Drosophila melanogaster: one gene and its partners. The protein of the gene in region 2 interacts with the protein of the main gene of each other region in a pairwise test. Each region holds a gene or a part of one and is shown on either strand. Other genes may lie near its edges.

The links. The genes of interacting proteins can lie anywhere in the genome.
Region 1: the proteins of CG11248 (region 2) and CalpB interact in a two-hybrid assay, tested with the Drosophila melanogaster proteins (one large-scale study listed by BioGRID).
Region 3: the proteins of CG11248 (region 2) and Vsx2 interact in a two-hybrid assay, tested with the Drosophila melanogaster proteins (one large-scale study listed by BioGRID).

What each region holds. Positions count from the first base shown.
Region 1 is NT_037436.4:9,886,914-9,894,207, reverse strand, and holds CalpB (Calpain-B), read right to left. Parts: upstream 5,447-7,294; 5' UTR 4,925-5,446; coding exon 3,984-4,924; intron 3,918-3,983; coding exon 3,643-3,917; intron 3,425-3,642; coding exon 1,863-3,424; 3' UTR 889-1,862; downstream 1-888. Other genes in the region: Hez (hezron), read left to right, coding at 1-216; CG6709 (uncharacterized protein), read left to right, coding at 428-499, 554-690, 744-888; Taf2 (TBP-associated factor 2), read left to right, coding at 5,639-5,688, 5,752-5,806, 5,869-7,294. UniProt on the Drosophila melanogaster protein: Calcium-regulated non-lysosomal thiol-protease.
Region 2 is NT_037436.4:21,677,919-21,684,126, forward strand, and holds CG11248 (uncharacterized protein), read left to right. Parts: upstream 1-2,131; 5' UTR 2,132-2,234; exon of another isoform or gene 2,235-2,314; intron 2,315-2,381; 5' UTR 2,382-2,388; coding exon 2,389-4,515; intron 4,516-4,576; coding exon 4,577-4,705; intron 4,706-4,761; coding exon 4,762-4,998; 3' UTR 4,999-5,313; downstream 5,314-6,208. Other genes in the region: Als2 (amyotrophic lateral sclerosis 2), read right to left, coding at 1-1,580; Sfp78E (seminal fluid protein 78E), read right to left, coding at 5,410-5,684, 5,747-5,924.
Region 3 is NC_004354.4:5,556,796-5,561,697, forward strand, and holds the start of Vsx2 (visual system homeobox 2), read right to left. Parts: upstream 3,389-4,902; 5' UTR 3,168-3,388; coding exon 2,615-3,167; intron 1-2,614.

The sequences.
Region 1 (7,294 bases), about 12 Mb from region 2:
TTTGGTCAAGCTCTGTTCAGACTGTTAGTCAAGCGATTCGGTGATCCCGCTATCATCTGGCAGAACAAAGGCGACCAAGTGGCGATCAATATACTCCGTCAGGTGGTCATCGATGCGCCGTATGCCACGGAGAATATCCGATACCTCGATTGGAATCCCAAGCTGGCGATATGCGTCCAAGAGGTCGTTCAAAACTTTTGCAGTAAACAATTCTAGAACGATGGCCCGTGCCCATGGCAACAGTTGTCTAGATAGCATCCGATTCTCTGTACGTTTTGTTTATCAACAAAACAATTCAAAATACACATACATATAGCCATGACACCCACACAGAATACTGCTCTTTATCTGCCAGGGGAAACCATTCTCGTTTGTACAAATTCGATTTAATACACTACACCACAACACCCAACACACATAATACACGATGGCCGATGATGAAGATAAACCAAAGAAGCACACGCTGGACAGCCTGTTCTTGGTGTATTCCAACTTCCAGGTATGATGAATGACCCGGTTAATTGAAGAGTAATTTTCATCTAAATGATGCCAGGTCATACCCACCGACATCGAGAACGAGTACTTTGACAGCATACTCCTCTCGCAGTTGGACGCCTGGCTAGAGCAGGCCAAGCTCATGCCCAATCCCATAACTCGAACTCAGACCGGTTTAATATACATGCGATACAAGTGAGTAACTACATCAAATCTACATATCATTCTTAATCAAATACATGTTTCAGGAAATGGCGTTTGGAGTACGAAGACTTTCTCGAGGTCCTAAATAACTTGGCATCCGATAACAATCTGGCTATAGATGAAATGAAGCAAATAATGATCGATGCTGGCGTCCCGAATGGTGCTGATGTAGTTATAGTCGTCAAGTAGATTGAATCATCACTGCATTTTATTTATATGCATACAAAAAGTCGGACAACAAATTATTAATAGTAACAATTGCATACAAGAGTAACTTTGATTAATTCACAAAAATTATAGTAAAATATAAAAGCATCCAACAAAAAGAGCCTCTAAACCCGATTGGTTAATTTCAGTTAGTTAAACACTTATTTTGACATAGAGGGTGCCTAATTAAGGTATGTTTTGAGATTACTGATCTGAAAACTAAATACAAAATATATGCGTATTACATTTTTTGATGTGATTCAATAAATTGACTGATATTCTGAAATTCTGCTTAAGCTTATAAATATTCGATGAGTTGGTTGGCTTGTTCGCTTCGCGTTACTTTCCTGATAATAATAACAACGTTTGTTTGGGTAACAGAGTTTGGCTGGACTTATTTCTAGCACCTGGGCAAATATGTGGACTGCTCGGAGCTAACGATGTTACAAAAATACATGCTTATTCATTCCGTATATCTAATAAATATTGTCGATGCGTTCTAATGGCTTTCCGAGCGTCTCATAGCGATTGTAAGGTAATAATGCACTGTTTGTACTAGTAAATTTCCGGCTCTTGACGAGGTGCATGGAGTGGATTTGCTATTGATGCTTGCTCTTAGTCATCCCTCCAGTTGCGCAGCATGGTAAAAAAAAATCTATAGCGTTAATTTTTTGAATTGTGTATGCGGGATTTATACTGTTTACCGTGCATACTCGTAGCAACCTCGTGCCGTTCCAAGGCCACTCCAATTTCGCCACATGATTTGTATTTCCGGATATGGTCATATAGATAAGATTCTCTTGTTGGCTCAGTGAGTGTATCTCTTTGCATCGCCGGATCGCATTGTCATGGATTTGTGTGTTGGCTTTCTCATTTGAATGCATGAATAATATGATGCACAGGTAGATTAAGTATACGTCGCACTTAGGATTAGATTAGTAGCAATTGCAAGTAATTTAAGAGTAAATTGTTCGCTCCAGCCAGTCGTCCAAGTTGAAGAAGGCCGTGTCCGAATTGTCCGTGTCCCGTTCGCGGAACATCTCGATGAATGTTCTAACCTTGATGGCACACATCAGGAAATCGTCGAATGGTATTTGTCCCTCCCGCGATCCGTAGCGATGGGCCAGGGCGTTCAGGAGCCGGTTGTTCAGATGATAGCCAGCCGAATTGAGTGCTCCGCGCAGATGGAATCCATCAATACTGCCAGTGCGACGGGTGTCATATAGCTTAAAGACCGCCCGCCACTTGGCAATATCGGTAAGCAGAGCTTCGAACTCCTCGAAACCAAGGCGACCGGAGCGATCCTTGTCCAGCATGGCTACCATCGAACGCACGGCATCCTTGGAGAAGCCATCACTGCCCACCATAACATCGCGCATAGAGTGGTCCAGGATGCGCTTCAGCTCCTGCCAGTCGACTTCCTCATCGCTGCCAGCCACGCTGTCGAACAGACGACGCAGTGCAATGCGCTGCGGATCATCCTCCTCCTTTGGAGTCGGTGGCGGCAGAGACGGAGCAATGCGATCGTCGGTCTCGCCAAAGCCAACCTCATCGTCGTTCTCCTCCATATTGTTCCTTGTCTCCGAGAAGACGCGAATAATGAACTCGCCCTCCTCATTCGGATCGAAGGTCGATGGAACAATCAGGTAGTGGCCAGGTGGCAACTTAAACCGGGCGCAAACCTCGCGCGTGTTGATAAAATGTGGTGAACGCGCCACCGATGCTCGGTACTTGAAGAAGTTGAGTCCCTGGGGCTTCACTTGCATGTCACGGTCTGTGAGATGATATATAGCAAATCCGATGGTCAGACAGTCGATGCCCACGTTGCGCTTGCTACGTCGATTCTTCTGCATAAGGGCCACAATAGCCGTGCATTTGCCATCGTCATCCTCGTCGTCGGGATCCTCCAGCGAAATGATGTACTGCGGATTGTGCCAGAAGGTTTCCAGGAAGTTTCTGCAACCGCCGGCTGTTACTCCCGATGTCCACTCACCCTCGAACATGGACATTTCCCACTTGCGGCGAGAGCTGTGCTGCTGATCCTCAGTCAGCGAGTCGGGCGACAAATTACATATCTCCACGCGATCAAAATGATTGAGGAAGTCCTGGAAGGACATCCAGAACTCGCCGTCCCTATCGAAATTCAGGCCAATCTCCTCCTTCGTGTGCTCCGGAATAAATCGCCACTCAGGCGAGCTGTCGCTCCACGGACCGCTCCATTCGGCATCGTTGCCCCATGGATTACGCATACGTATCATGGGCAATTTTCCCTGCCGATTGGGCGTCGATATGTCCATGAGGCACACCTTGGTAATGGAGTATGCATGACCGCGAATCAAACCTTGTGGCGTCTCCGCTTCCAGAACATGTGGATCCGGCTCCAAAGAGCAGCCCATCATCGAGCCACGCTCGGCGGCCTTCATCATGATGCTGAATAGATTTGGGGGCGCCTCCTTGATGTCGTACCACTCGGTGACGCCGCCAGTAAAGTCCTCCATGGCCTCGCACGTGGTGCCGCCTAATCGTGAAGAGATGGTTACAAAAAAATTATTAGAATGAAAGTATTTAAATTTCAGATCTATTCAACAAAGTCCTAACCGCGATAAGTGCCACATTAGTTTATTTTTTTTTAAGAACATATGATAAGCATAGTGTATTTTTAGAAACTAAAATAAATTTTGGTATGCCACAAATTTTCTACGCTTCTACAAATACTGATAATATTCCATTTCCTACCCTTGAGTGCTTCATAAGATCCATGCAGCTTTGCATAAGCCTTCTCCAGCAAGGCACTCCAAAACTCGTTCTTCTCCGTGGAGTGCATGTAGATTAGCTCGCCATTATAGGTGGGCAGACGGTCATCAATGACCACTTCCACCCACTTGCCATACTGCCAAAACTTGAAGTGAAAGATGCCAGCGTAGTTCTCCTGGAAGTCCTGATCCGGCGGGATTACCCTAAAGAAGAGCGTCGAGTCCTGCGTCAAATTGGCAGCTGCAGCCAGTAGCCAGCTGTGAAGGAATATTTAATTTTTGAATTTATGTCCACTTATGTGTTATTAATGCGTTTGGTCTTACCAATCGCCAAGTTCTCCTTGTTGCACATCGAATCGTGAATAGCCTTCCACGAAGAACTGCGGATCATCGGCGATGTCACCGGGACGCAGCCACTCGTAGTAGCGATCCGGTCGTCGTGAGTACATCAGCGAAGCGTTGGTGGCCGGAAAATCGGGATCCTCGAACATGGTTCCATTAGCCAGGCAACTGTCGCGCAGCGATTGGAAATCGCCTTTGCTTACGCTGTTCTGCCGGGCACTAGTGGCCTTGCGACCCATCCAAAACATGTTCTGGTTCTCGGGCACCTTCACGCTGGTGAAGCTTAGCTCGGCCACGCCGACGGAAGGTTCCTCCTCCTGGGTTGGAGCACTTTCCGGTGGCGGTGCCGTGGGATATGGTAGTGCTGGGAATCCGATATTGTGCTGGGGAGCCGGACTCGTTGGCATGGGAGCGTACGGCATTGGCATACCGGGCAAACCGGGCATGGCAGATGGATATGGTGCGAGCGGAGCCGCCGGATAGGGTAGATTGGGCTGCGGCATGCCAGTTGGATAGGGCATTCCGGTTGGATAGGGCGCCATAGGCGCAGTGGGGTACGGCAGCGATGATACGTTGGCTGATGGCAGACTAGGATAAAGTCCTGATCCAGGGTATGGCGTGGCACTGGGGTATGGAGCCGGCGCTGAGGGGGCTTCTGGCACGGGCATTCCCATGCCCATGGTGGGTCCCGCATACGAAGCATTCTGGGCATGACTCGTCTGCTTTACCACATATGGCATTCCGCCCACGGATTCGGATGATGGATAGGGCAACGAGGGGTAGAGACCCGCTTTGGGTTTGGGAGCTCCTCCTCCTTCGTTCCCGCCGCTGACTTCATTCTTGCTGTAGCCCAAGGCCGCCAAATTGACAAGGCCAATGCCACTGGCATGATAATTCTTGGGGTAATTATCAATGCCGTACATTTTTACTGGTTTTTCGCTGTGGTTTTCCTCGTCCACGCACTGGTTTTTCCCTAAATCTAACTACTAATGGCGTTGCAAATCGGCTAAAACTACGGAACTGGATGATATCCAGATGTTTATTAACTCGCTGCCGTGGTAAAACTGCTGACTCGCTGAGAATCGTACGCTTTAAATGGGAGAAGTATCCAAATTTAACTTTCTCGGTAAATGATTCATAATCTTTAACCCTTGCGCGTTCTGTATAAATTTTCTTTGAATATGCATGTGCAATCAAAAAAGCTTTGAAAATGCAGAATGAAATATTTATAACATTCTAATTCATTTATTAACTCAGAAAATATATTATAGAAATATTAATTTTGTTTTATTAAACAGTTTCAATAAAAACAAATATAGCTTTTAATAAATTTTAGTTTTCTAAAAAATGTATTTTTATGGTATTAGAGAAGTAGTTATGTAGTCTATATTGTTTACGAACGTAAACTATTAAATTAGTGTCAATATTGAAGACCCAACACGTTTCGAGGGTTAAAAAAAGGCGAGCAGGGCTACATTGTCGCGCAGAGTTGCCATCTTTATCCGAATGAATTTGGTATTTTTTTAGCCCTGTCGGCATTTTCAATAGAAGAAGAAGAAGTTAAACAGTGCTGTGTTTTTTTTTATAACAAACGCAAATTAGTTAATAAATTCTGGCGCAGAACCGGCATTTGAGCGATGGAAACGCAACCTGAGGTGCCCGAGGTGCCGCTGCGACCGTTTAAATTATAAGTATTCACCCTGCTCTGTTAGGAATCCAAAAATAATGAGTTCTCCCTTTTGAATAGCACGGCGCATCAGGTTGTGAGCCTCACGGGCATCAGTTTCGAGCGGAGGAGCATAATCGTAAGGATATAACTTAGATACACTTAAATATGTACAAAACATAACACACCTCCTCCCTTTAGGGCGTGGTCGAGCTGACCATTGTGCCGAACAGCGAGAATCTGCGCCTGATACGCCTGAATGCCAAGCAGCTGAGAATCTACAGCGTCGTTTTGAACGATGTCTGCCAGGCGGATTTCACGTACTTCGATCCCTTCCAGAACATCTGCTACAAGGAGCACAAGAGCCGCGCGCTGGAGGTCTACTCCAAGCATCATCTGACCGCCGCCCAGTACACCGATCCCGATGTGAACAACGGCGAACTGCTCATCCAGGTTCCGCCCGAGGGCTACTCTATGATCCAGGAGGGTCAGGGTCTGCGCATCCGCATCGAGTTCTCGTTGGAGAATCCCAAATGCGGCGTACATTTTGTCATACCACCCGCTTCAACGGACGAGGAGACACAGATGAACAGCTCGCATATGTTCACCAATTGCTATGAAAACTCGTCGAGATTGTGGTTTCCCTGCGTGGACAGTTTCGCCGATCCCTGCACCTGGCGGCTGGAGTTCACTGTCGACAAAAATATGACCGCCGTTTCGTGTGGAGAACTTCTAGAAGTCATTATGACCCCAGATCTGCGAAAGAAAACCTTCCACTATTCGGTTAGCACACCAGTATGTGCACCAAATATTGCGCTGGCTGTGGGTCAGTTTGAGATCTACGTGGATCCGCACATGCATGAAGTGACCCACTTTTGTCTGCCCGGATTGTTGCCGCTGTTAAAAAATACGGTTCGCTATTTGCACGAGGCATTTGAATTTTACGAGGAGACCTTATCTACGCGCTACCCATTCAGTTGCTACAAACAAGTGTTTGTAGACGAATTGGACACGGACATAAGTGCCTATGCCACTATGAGCATTGCTTCGGTGAATCTGCTGCACTCCATAGCTATCATCGATCAGACCTATATATCTCGAACCTTTATGTCGCGCGCTGTGGCTGAGCAATTCTTCGGCTGCTTTATTACATCCCATCATTGGTCGGACACCTGGCTGGCCAAGGGCATTGCGGAGTACCTGTGTGGATTGTATTCCAGGAAGTGCTTCGGCAACAACGAGTACCGTGCTTGGGTGCAATCTGAACTGGCGCGTGTCGTTCGCTACGAGGAGCAGTATGGCGGCATTATTCTCGATTGCAGTCAGCCGCCAGCTCCTTTGCCTGTTTCGGGCACAAATCAATCGGCGGCTTCCAGCAAACAGCAGGAGATTGTCCACTATTTTCCCATCAAGAGTTTGCACACCGTATCGCCGAAGTATGTGGAGGCGATGCGAAGGAAAGCGCATTTCGTAATCCGGATGCTGGAGAACCGCATCGGGCAGGAGCTGCTGATTCAGGTGTTCAATAAGCAATTGGCTTTGGCTTCAAGTGCGGCAACGACAAAGATCGGTGCAGGACTCTGGTCTCAGCTGCTCATCTCGACCAACATTTTTATCAAGGCCATCT
Region 2 (6,208 bases):
CCAAATCCATTGACCGAGAACACATCGCAATAGGCCTTTGTGTAGCCGTCAAACAGATCGATGTACTCTTTGTAATGACAGATAAACAACAGGTCGGCAGGCTGCACAAAGTCCGCTCGGTAGAATCCCTCTAGCGAATGCAAAGTGGCCACTAGCAGGCACAGTATTCTCTCCCAGTTGATCAGCAAGGGACCGAGGGCGCTGAGCGGCTCCAGTGCCGACTGTCTTTGCCAGATTTCGAGTGTTTGGACTGCCTGTCGATGCTTGAGAAGCAGTTGTAACTGTGACTGCAGATGACTCAGATAGTAGTGATACTGCCGCTGGAACTGCCTTTGGTTTTGAAGTGTGTATCCGCCAGAACACATAAGCAAACGTAGTTGTCTGGGCCACGCTGCTCCCAACTGAAGCTGGAGAAGCGTCTGCGCGTATGTGCTGGACTGCTGCAGATGTCGCATTGGAGGCGCAGGTTGAAGGGAATGTATTTGACCCGAGGCATTGAGCAGTAGTGTATGGTAGTCGCCGCAAGTCGCCTCAAGCGCCGAGTTTTGTTCTATGGGTAGTGCTGCCGTGTTTTCCGTAATTGTGATCTCCATGGGCGAGCTGACATCTTCACCCAACTGAGAGTGGTTGTTCAGGCCCCAGTGGTAGAGCCTTCCGTCCAGAGTGCGGGCCACCGTGTGCTCTAATCCAGCTGCAATGCTGCACACGCCCATGCTGTCTAGTTTCTGCAAGCGCATCACATTGGCCCTCCGGATATGATCCCCACTGCCCAGGAGACCATTATTGGAGGCTCCGAATGTGAAAAGTTGGGTGTGGAGCAGAGCGTATCCTTGGTGAAGAAGGTGCCTTGTGTTAGCCGCAACGCTGCGCTCCGAGTGGCCACTGCTTATGGATTTTACAGAGGCCCGTTCATCCTCGGGTTCTTCCTTCGCACTGGCCACCGACAGCTGGAGTGCATCGTCGGCCAGGTTGTAGGGAGCTACTAACATCACAAAGTGCTCGTTTCCGGCTGCTAAGTCCAACAGTTCCTTGCCCTCTTCGTAAAGGCGCATGTGCCGAGGCTGTTGTTCTGCCTTGAAGACTTCGCCGCAGCTGCCCATGACATAGGTCTCCCCACTAGCGCCGACGAAGACAACGCCCTGGGCGGAGCAGCAAACCCGTCGGATGCGTACGCCCTCAGCATGCAATTCGAGAGGGTCGAAACCGAGGGTTTGCCACGCATGTGGATGACCCACATCCCGGCCAGATCCCGTGGCTTGGCGCTGCACAGAGCCATTGGTGAGGACTACGAATAGTTCCTGACTGCCGGAGCAGAAGTCCATATCCACAACATCGGTACGCAGGAGTTGAAGATCCATGTGTTCGCGGTTGGCCTGCAGCTTGGCGGAGTAGAGGGCGTGGTCAGTGGTCAGAAGGAGCAGTTCCCCGCCGGCATTGCTGCAAATCCGGGATGCGGGAAACCGCTGCAGGGGCGGCAATCCGCGCCAGTGAAGCTGTAGCTCCCTGCCTTCATGATAGATGGTGAAGGACTCCCGCTCCTCCTGACCCCCAAGTGCCGAGTCATCCGCTGCACTGGCCATGATGTGCAAATTTTTGTTGGGGTTTTGGACAGGGCCAAAGCTTTGTAACACGACGCAATTGCTCGATTTGTCTGCAGGTCGTTCTCACATCGTGCACGTGCTCCGGTCCACGCTAGGCACTACTGGCACCAACGAACATCATATAACTTGATTCGGAATGCAACTCTAGCTGCCACGATAAAATAAATTCTGTTTTCACTTGTTCTTAACTGGCTAATAAGAATTCATGTTTTTGTGATGGTTTTTTGGATTAGTGTGACCAGCGCTATCGAGTCCCAATGAGAATTTATTAAGTAAGGGTGTTCGGGTAAAAGTGACGTTCTAAAATTGGGCTTATCACTATTTATTTGGTCCATGCAAATTGTTGTTTTATAACCAATTTTGAAAACACACATAATACCTTATACGTAAACTCAATATTGTAGTTAGCTAGAACTCTTATATAAATTTAAATAACTCCTTAGTTGCATTCGCCATAATCATGGAACCAGTCAACACAAAAAAGTTATTTTGGTATTTTTTTGCGATACATCAATTTGTTTTAATATGGTCATATTGTTTTTGCCATCAGCTGTTCGACTCAAAAGTTTTTGCATGTTTTGTTTATTTCGCTTAAAATGTAGTTTTATCGTTAATTAGGAAAAGTTACCCACGGTAAAAAAAAACAACCGTCAACAATTGTTCAGAAACATCAACTAGTACGACTCAGTGGACACCTCCGTGTGGTACTGCTGGTTTGCATACGCCCACAAAAGTTGTTTTAAGCCACAAACTCACCCTCCTAAAATAAAATTTTTTCAGCTCGGTTATGGATTTGGACTGCGAGGGCGCTACAGCTTTGGCTGACGACTCAGGGCACTTTAGCTGCACTAGCGATGATGGAGTAGGAGATCCTGCTCAGAAACCGGCGCCGCAGCCTGAACCGGACCAATCGATTTTTCTGGTGCGGCAAGAGCTGCTTCGGACGCGCAGTGAGGTGCAAAGGCTCTTAAAATCGGAGCAGTGGTACAAGCAGGAGCTTAAGTCCCAGAAGCACAGCAGGCTACAGACGCTAGAACGATTGTACGCACAGGAACGGAAGTATTTGATGGAGAACCAGAAGCTGCAGCAAGAATCGATCCGCCTGCACACACAATGCGCCACTCTGGAGAAGCAGCAGGAGCAGGGCTCACCATTTTCCCCTGGCTCATCGCCGTTTAAAGCAGACTCGGAGTCACACGACTCCTCTTTTGAGGCCAAACAGCAGGAGGCGCGCCTACGGGATCAGCGTCAGTTGATCGACGTGCTCCGAAGGCAAAAGAAGATGCTTCTGGACGACATCCAGAGGATCAGTCTGGAACACGATGAAAAACTTTCGCAGTTGCAGCAAACTGTTGTCGGCATGGAGCTGGAGAGCAAGCACGTGACTGGAAAATGCAAGCAACTACTTGACCTTAAAAGTCAAATGGAGCACCAGCTAGAGCTAAGAAGCACTACCCTACGCAGTGTCACCGCGGAGCGTGATCAGCTGCGCCAAGTCATTGCTGAGCTTAACGAGACGCTGCAAACGCAGGAGCATCTGTTAGCGCTAAAGGAACAGGAGTTCCTGGATTTGAAACAGTACTACCAACAAAAGCTGAAACGGGAGAGTAGCATGGAAATTATGCACTCTTATAGCATGAAATTTCACGAAGAGATCAACAGAAAAACGAGTGAAATTGCCAGCCTTAAGAATTCTCTTAACGAGCTTCAGGCCGAGCTGATGCTGATGTCTCACATGAAAGAGCAATGCGAGGAACAGCAGCGTCAGCTTGAGCAACTGGAGTTCGCATTGCAGGCACAACTTTTGGAGGAGACTCAACTTCGGCAAAGCAATGCTCTAAAACTGGAGCAGGTGGAAAATTTAACAATTTCTTTGGCTTCGTTACAACTAGATAAGGAAGGCTTAAAAGAAAATTTAGGTGAGGCGCAAAAGACCTTGAAAAATCTACAGCAGAAGGTGGACATTCTTCAAAAACAGTATGCCGAAATGTGCTCCTTGTGTCAAAAGACTAAACAGCAATTGGAACTGGAGAAAATCGAGATTGCCAAAATGAAGCAAAACGGTTCCTTAAAGGAAAGTGAGCTAATGGAGAAACTCAAAGATTATGCAGCGCAGTGTGATGAGCTGAGAAAAGCGTTGGCCGAAGCAGAGTCCCGTATCGATGTCCAAATCAAAAAGACAGAGGGCTGGCAAGTGCAGTTGAAACACAACCAAGCGACCCAAACGGACCTCGAAGATCCGATTTTAGTTCAACGCATTGAGACTTTGGAACAACAACTAGCGGATGTCAGGAGCCAAAAATTGCACACAGTTTCGCTGCTCCAAATACTGCTTCAACAGCAAGAAGCTAAAATCAAGAGCACTAACGAAATGGAAGCAGACTGGCAACAACTGTTAGATGCTCTGCAAGCTACTCAAAGCTTGGAGCAGGAAATGCGATCAGAACTACAGCATAAGACGGTTGAATTGGAGCACCTGAATGAATTGTTCGCTGGACAAAATGATGAACTGCAAAAGCTCCAGAAATTGAGCCAAGCGCAGGACGAGGAAAATCGACTAGAGTTACAGCTTTTGAAGAAAACATTCCAAGAGAATCTGAAGATAAACTCCGCTGCGTCGATTAACATGCAAAGGCTGCAAGGCCAGGTAAAGTCTTTGCTAGATGAGAAGGAGGAAATTGCGCGAGAAGAACGCAAAGCAGTAGAGTGTTTGCGATCTCTTGGTCACGTTCTTGAGATGGAAACAGGAAGGAGGCTACCACATATAAAAAGCTGGCCTCAGTTGGCCAAAATTCTTCGAAAGGAACTGCGAAATGGGAGGGTTAACAATCGAAAGGCTGAAGAGCTTCCTGGGCTTAAAATGAAGCTGGCGGAGATCAGCGGAAGGCATCAGCAAGCTTTGTCAAAAATTAAGGTATGTTATGTCTTACTCCCTTAAAGTAACTCTTTGTAACACAATTAATTGCTTTTTACAGTGTCTGGAGCACACTTTGGTAATGGAGCGAGCGCGGTTTGAGGCCTCGGACTCGGGCAAATCGACGGCTAGCAACACGCCCCAGGAACCCGCCCATGAAGTGGCTAATCTTATTGATGACTACAAGAAGGTAAGTATGTTCCCCTCCGATTGGCTTCTCTTGACATTTCCTTAATTGATTTACAGCTCGTTCAGCAAACCGCCAATGAAACATGTCGCCCTCGCAACAGCTTCATATTCGATCTGATTGAGCGGAGTCAGCGATGCCAACCGAATTTGTGCCAATTAGGCGAGGGTATTTCCGCCTGCCAGTCTGATATGAAGGAGCTAAGCAGGATTATTATTGCTGGTCGGGAACGGAGGAGAGTGGAGCCCATGCCCTCCCTCATGGATGAACTTCGAGCGGTGGCCGAGCACTCTTAGACGAGCATAATTTAGTTTTCAGTCAAATACTTATAAATTTCCTATTTAGTACCTATTTGTTTAGTCTCAAATTTTGTTTTCCTAAAAGGGGCAATTAGTGAATTGAGTTTTTGTGCCTAGTCTCATAGGCCTAATTTTCAATCAGATCCAACTTAGTTCAATTTATATAAATATTTATTTTGTTGTCTTTTGTGTTCGTTATCTTTATTTATGTGTAACGCATTCTGTTAGTTTCACCAATTCTATATACATACTAATTGCCAAACTATACCAATATTTTTTCTACAAGATATATAAACCATTGTTGGTTGCCACAAAAATGTGTAATTATTTTTATAGTCCATAACATTTAAAGTTAAAAACCTTGTGTAGATAAAACATATTTGTGTGAAGTCGATCAGTGCACATCATTTACTTTCGTGGGCACCTAGGGATTTTAGTACCATCGTTCTCCGAAATAACTTCCTTTTTGTCATATATCGTATTTCCGTTTTCATCCACGTCCAGAACTTCCTGTATTACCCCTTTTCGAGTTCGTGTTATCCCACACATAGGCTTATCGTTTTTATCCATGCACAAAATCAGGAGCTCAGTGTGCTGTAGATCAGAGGGCTTTAGGACCTTTGTTACCTTACAAGATGCCGTAAACTTTATGGGGCACGTCACCCCGGCACATTGCCAACCATCTGGGGGGAAATAATTATTAACATAGATGTTCCAATACTACTCGTATCCATGTAATCCATACACTTAGTCTTCTTTACCGTCGCTCGATTTAAGTCCTCATTTAGGTGCCGATCTCCGTCTGCCTTAAAATAAATGTACGATCCATAATACTCCATATACGGATTTACCCTTACCACGGTGTGGTCAGCAAAAGATAAAATGGCCAGCACTACCAATATTAAGGAGATAAAGATATTCATAGCTCAACCTTGCTGATGCAGTTTTCCTCTATGACTGATTGATTCAAACAAGTCTGCTGATGTATTGGATCAGCCTAATGTGTAATGTGTGTGTTCCACAGAACAAAGATACACCCCTGCAACTGAGTTCAGAATTTAATAACACTATAGTTTATATACGTTTCCGGACGTCTTACATTGGGAATTGTTATTCCTGTATTGTATTCACAATCAGTCACTTAGAAAGTCGCCTTGGAAGCGGAAACATGTCTTCGTCAGGGTGACTTAAGCTGTGGCAAATTGAT
Region 3 (4,902 bases), on a different chromosome or scaffold from region 2:
TTATTACTCTTACGAATATTCGTAACTGAATTTAAACGTAATATCTATTTAGTAAGCCGTTCCCCAATGGATCAGCATCAGCATCTCAAGCTGGCTAACTTAAATTTTGAACTCATACATACCAACTTAGTTACTTATTATCTGTATACATTGTTGGCATGCTCAGCTAAAAAGTGGAAAATCCTAAATGGTTAATTTCGAGAGGCGAGTAAATTGTCGAAATCTTTGCAGCACAAGTGCACCAATACAAGGAAAATCTTGAATTGTATGTGTGTGTGGGGATGTGCAAACACATCAAAACGACTGTCACAACAAAGCGACGCGCGTAGCCAAAGTGAAAATTGTCAATTAAATGTGTGGCGGTGTGGTGTGCGAAGAAAAAGCGCTTTTCTTATTGTCGTTGGGCAACCAATTTTCCGATTTGGGTTTTCCCTTCTGGTAAAAGATCAAAGGCACTTAATGGAGGGCGCCAAGTACTCAGCTCTGGACAGGAAATCCGTCCGAAATCCGGCCAGAAATTCGCTCGCGATTCGACCAAACCTGATGCGATTTTTTAATTGACGAGCTGGCCACGCAAATGGGTATAAAATCAACAACGGATACCCGAAATATTCGTACGACAACGAAGCGAGTTGAAAATATGCAAAATTAAATAGGATGACGCGAATGAAAAGCAGAAAGCACGGCTAAACAGAACAGAAGAAAATGGGGAGTGAACTAATAAGCACGACTACTGCATACCCTAAAACATATAAGCCTTTCCTAATTTATAAGCTTTTACCACAGGCAGACCACTTTCTCTATCTCTATTTATGAGCACGACTATTACATACCCTAGAATATATGCTTTTAGCGGAGGCAACCCACTCTCTCTCATCATCGCAGAGCAACTCGCCCTGTTTATTGCACCAAAACTAATGAGCACAACTATTACATACTACATACATTACCACTATTTATAAAACCTTAACTAATTGGTCATAGTTTAAATTGTAATCCCAGTCTGCTAGCCCATACTACCCATAACTATTTAGCAGCTAAGAGCAGTGCTCTTTCCCACATTTATTAAACGCAAATTACGACGAAACTGTGGAAATGGGCGATAAACGGATAGGAGTATTGTAATTAAAATAACGCATAAACATCGAGCCAAAAAGAAAGCCGCACAACATGCGAAATCAATAAAAAAAAAAATAATAATAATAAGACCCCAAAAAAAAGGGTCCGGAAGTGTAGGGGTAAACAGATTTGAAATCAAGAAATCAGATTCAATCTACTCATATATGTATCTACATATCCACATAAGTTGAGTGAGTGCGCAGTGAAATTGGCACAGTGAATCAGTTGCAGAGCAATGGAAATCGGTGATGACGATGATGATATTTCAACGCTAATTAAAATAATAATAACAATAATAACAGCTGCCACTTGAATCTGCAAGATTATCTGCAGAGCCTCGCACTTTTCACAGTGAAAGAAATTTGGCTAAACGCTTCAGGATTTTGTTATTAATGCCATTCCAGATATAGTTCACAAATCCAATGAGAAATATAACAATTTGAAGTGCTTATGTTGTTAATCAACTGCTTACTTCTGGCAGCCAGCAACTAGTTCCTAGTTTTTTACCGTGTATCCAATCCCTGCACGGCTTTTCATGCCTTTCTGTTTATCTGCCTTCACTGTCATCGCTCCAACTTCGTATGATATTGCCACTTGCAAATGAGCTTTGAATCGAGAGAGACAGCAGGTCGACTCGAGTTCACTGTTAGTGTGTGGGATTTTCTTGCAGTGTGCGTGTTTCATTGCCTGTGCTGATCGCCAAACAAAGGCGCACCTACAGTGGCACAAAAGCGACCAAAAACCTACTCGAAAAGCATACCAAGCTTATTATAAATTGATTCGGATTTCCACTGATTCTAGAATTTTATTTAAACAATATGAAAACTAACTATTGTCGTTAGTGTGCCCAAACTATTGCAACAATTGTGAAGCCCAGTTTTTGCTATGCTCAAACCAGAGTGCAACACACACACAAACACTCACACACACACATCCACACACAGTGCAATTAGCAGCTCAACTTGAGTGGTGGTGCTTTGGATTGGAGTGGCTTCGGAGGCGGATTGCCGGATTGCCGGATCGGTGGAGCGGTGGTGCGGATGCGGGCGTTGTGTCGTTTGCAGTGGGGCCAAAGCTGATTTGGCGGACGATGGACCGCTGATTAATTCCTTTTTTATGCTAACTAAGCGGCACTCCAGACACCGATTCGCCCCACTGTGTGTGCGTGTGCGTGTGAATCGAATGTATCTGTATCTGAATCTGAATCTGTAAATGTATCTGAGCATGTGTATATGTGCGCCTGTGTTGGTGTGTCTGGCAGGTGACAAAACCAGTTGCGATTGCTAATTGCGTTTAAGCTTTGATTGTCAGTGTAAATACATCGAACAAAAGATTTTTAAAATCGCTATAGCGAAATATATGTAAGTTAGCTACGGCACTTTTCAACTTTCCCATGTTCAGTATATGCATAAATGAAAAAAATATATATATCTGTGTTTTACTAACTGCAATTAACTGCAATTTGAGTGGTTCGCTGGCGGGGACATTGGCTTACCCTGCGCGTGCAGCAGCGGGTGGTGCGGATGGTGGGGGTGGTGGTGCTGCATCGGCGGCGGCGGCGGTGGCCCGCCAACGGCTCCGTGTGGGTGGTGCGGGTGGTGGTGTGGATGGTGCTGGTGCTGATGCTGATGATGATGGTGCACCGCCGCGGCCAGTTGGTGGGGCATAAAGGCCGCTGCCACCGCCGCATGGGCATTGAAGTAGGCCATTCGCGAGGCGGCCGCCATGGTCATTTGGTGGTGCTCCCTGTACTGATGGTGGTGCGGCTGGTGGTGCTGCTGCTCTTGTTGCTGCTGCTGCGGCTGCTGCTGTGGCTCCGAAACGCTCGTTAAATTGCCTTCGGCCGCATTTGTTGGTGTTGCTGCCGTAGCTGCTGATGTTGCTGCTGTTGCCATTGTGGCATTTGTTGTCTTTGGCGGCGTTGGCGTTTGGCGCTCTTTTGCCACCGTTGCACCGGCAGTTGTCGTCAGATCGGTTGGCGCTTCTGTGGCCGCCGCCACCGCCAAGCCCAGCAGCTCCTGAATGGCAAATGGCGAACGCTGCGGCATTTTCGATTGCTAATATTTCGATTTACGTCTAGATATTGCCGTTGTCAAAACAAATCGCTTGAAAACATCATGCAGTCCCAATTGAGAAACCCAGAAAACAAAAAAAAAAACAAAGCAAAGGCAAGTTTTGCAATGTTGTAAAGACTACGCGAAATGGGATTTGCGAATGGAGGTTTTGAGATTTTGCGCTGGCACGCGTCGCAGAAAAACACACAACAAATTCGCAATAATTTCCACGTTAAACTGTTGCCTGCGTTAATGTGCACCAGGAGTTTTGTCGTCGCAGTTGCTGTTTCTGTTTGCTGTTGCTGTTGCTGTCGTGCTGTTGCTGCCGTTATGTTGCTGCTGGTGGTTGGCTTTCGACTTGGCTTTGCATTTCGCTTTGGATTTGGCCAAGGAGGCATTCAGCTAACAAACGGTAAACGGCCAGCGGAGCTTTGCTCTTCCGAGGACCTCAAATCGCATGGCAAGCGCAGCAGCAACATTTGCAGCAGCAGCAGCAACACCAACAGCAGCAGCAACAGCAGTAACGGCGGCAACGGCGGCAAAAGCAGCGCGCCGACAGCGACGCTCGCGTCGACTGCGCTGCCCGGCAACGGTAAATATTCAGGGGCGGTCTCTGTCGCACGCTAGCCGCACTCTTCGCCGCTCAGCGAGTGCGAGGGAGTCAGCAGCATATGGGCCTTCCCCTCGGCAACATGGCGCATGTGCGACATCCATTCGCCGTTAGAGTGAGGAGAGCAGCAAGCGCCTTCCAAGCACCATCTAGCCGTGCTCTTCTCGCACACGCGTAACCTTCCAGTTTTCCCGCGAACTTCCAGTTCGGACCGAAACGCATTAGTGTTGGTGCGCTGCTTGCCGTTGTATTGGTGCCCGATTGCCACAGTGTGCGGCGCCCATTTTGTGTGAGTGAAAGAGAGCCAGAGAGCGCAAGAGTGGGAGAGGGCATGGTCAACAGGGCTGGGGTGGCGCAAAAAAAGGCGCAAGAAAACAACTATTTCGCAGACCCGAACTCGAACTCGGAACTCCAACCGCTCTCCGTTCAATGAAGGACGCCAATTTATGGCCCAAAAAACGAGCCACCATTCGGTTTCCAGCTGGTAGAAACTACTCACTTGTCGGCCGCCTAACAATGCCTTTCCCTTCCCCAAAAAAAAGGCAGTCTAATTAAAATTTTCGCCAAAAACTTGTACTATTGAAATGCGTAAATTAGCATTTACACCACGTCCTGTGTGCATGAGTGTGTGCGTGTGTGCCAGTGGGAGAGTCCTTGCTGCGCAGTTTTGCAGGATTTCAAGAGATTTTGGGGTCGTGCTATGTGGGTTATTGTTCTCGGAGAAATGTCCCGAAATTCGGCAAAATAATTCGGCTTGATTTCGGCAGCAGTCGAAAAGTAGAGCTTGTAATGGACTTGCAAATTACTGCTAGGCAATTGAGGGACTTACAATTAACTCGGTCCCGAAAGGGATCTCCTACAAAAGGCCATACACAGATAGAAAAAACGTGTTGATATTTAATTCTCAAAAAAATATATAAATATATTTTGTTACGCATCGATTATATTCTATATACACGCATTGATTTCTATTTAAAGAAAATAAAGACACCAGCAATTGGAAAGCCACGATCAGTGGCAGGCAAACGGGTCTTTTGGGGCTTTTCTCACGCCCCCACACAGTGAGCTCTGCCTATGGAGAAACCCACGCGGCAATTAGACAATTGAAATGCCAACGCT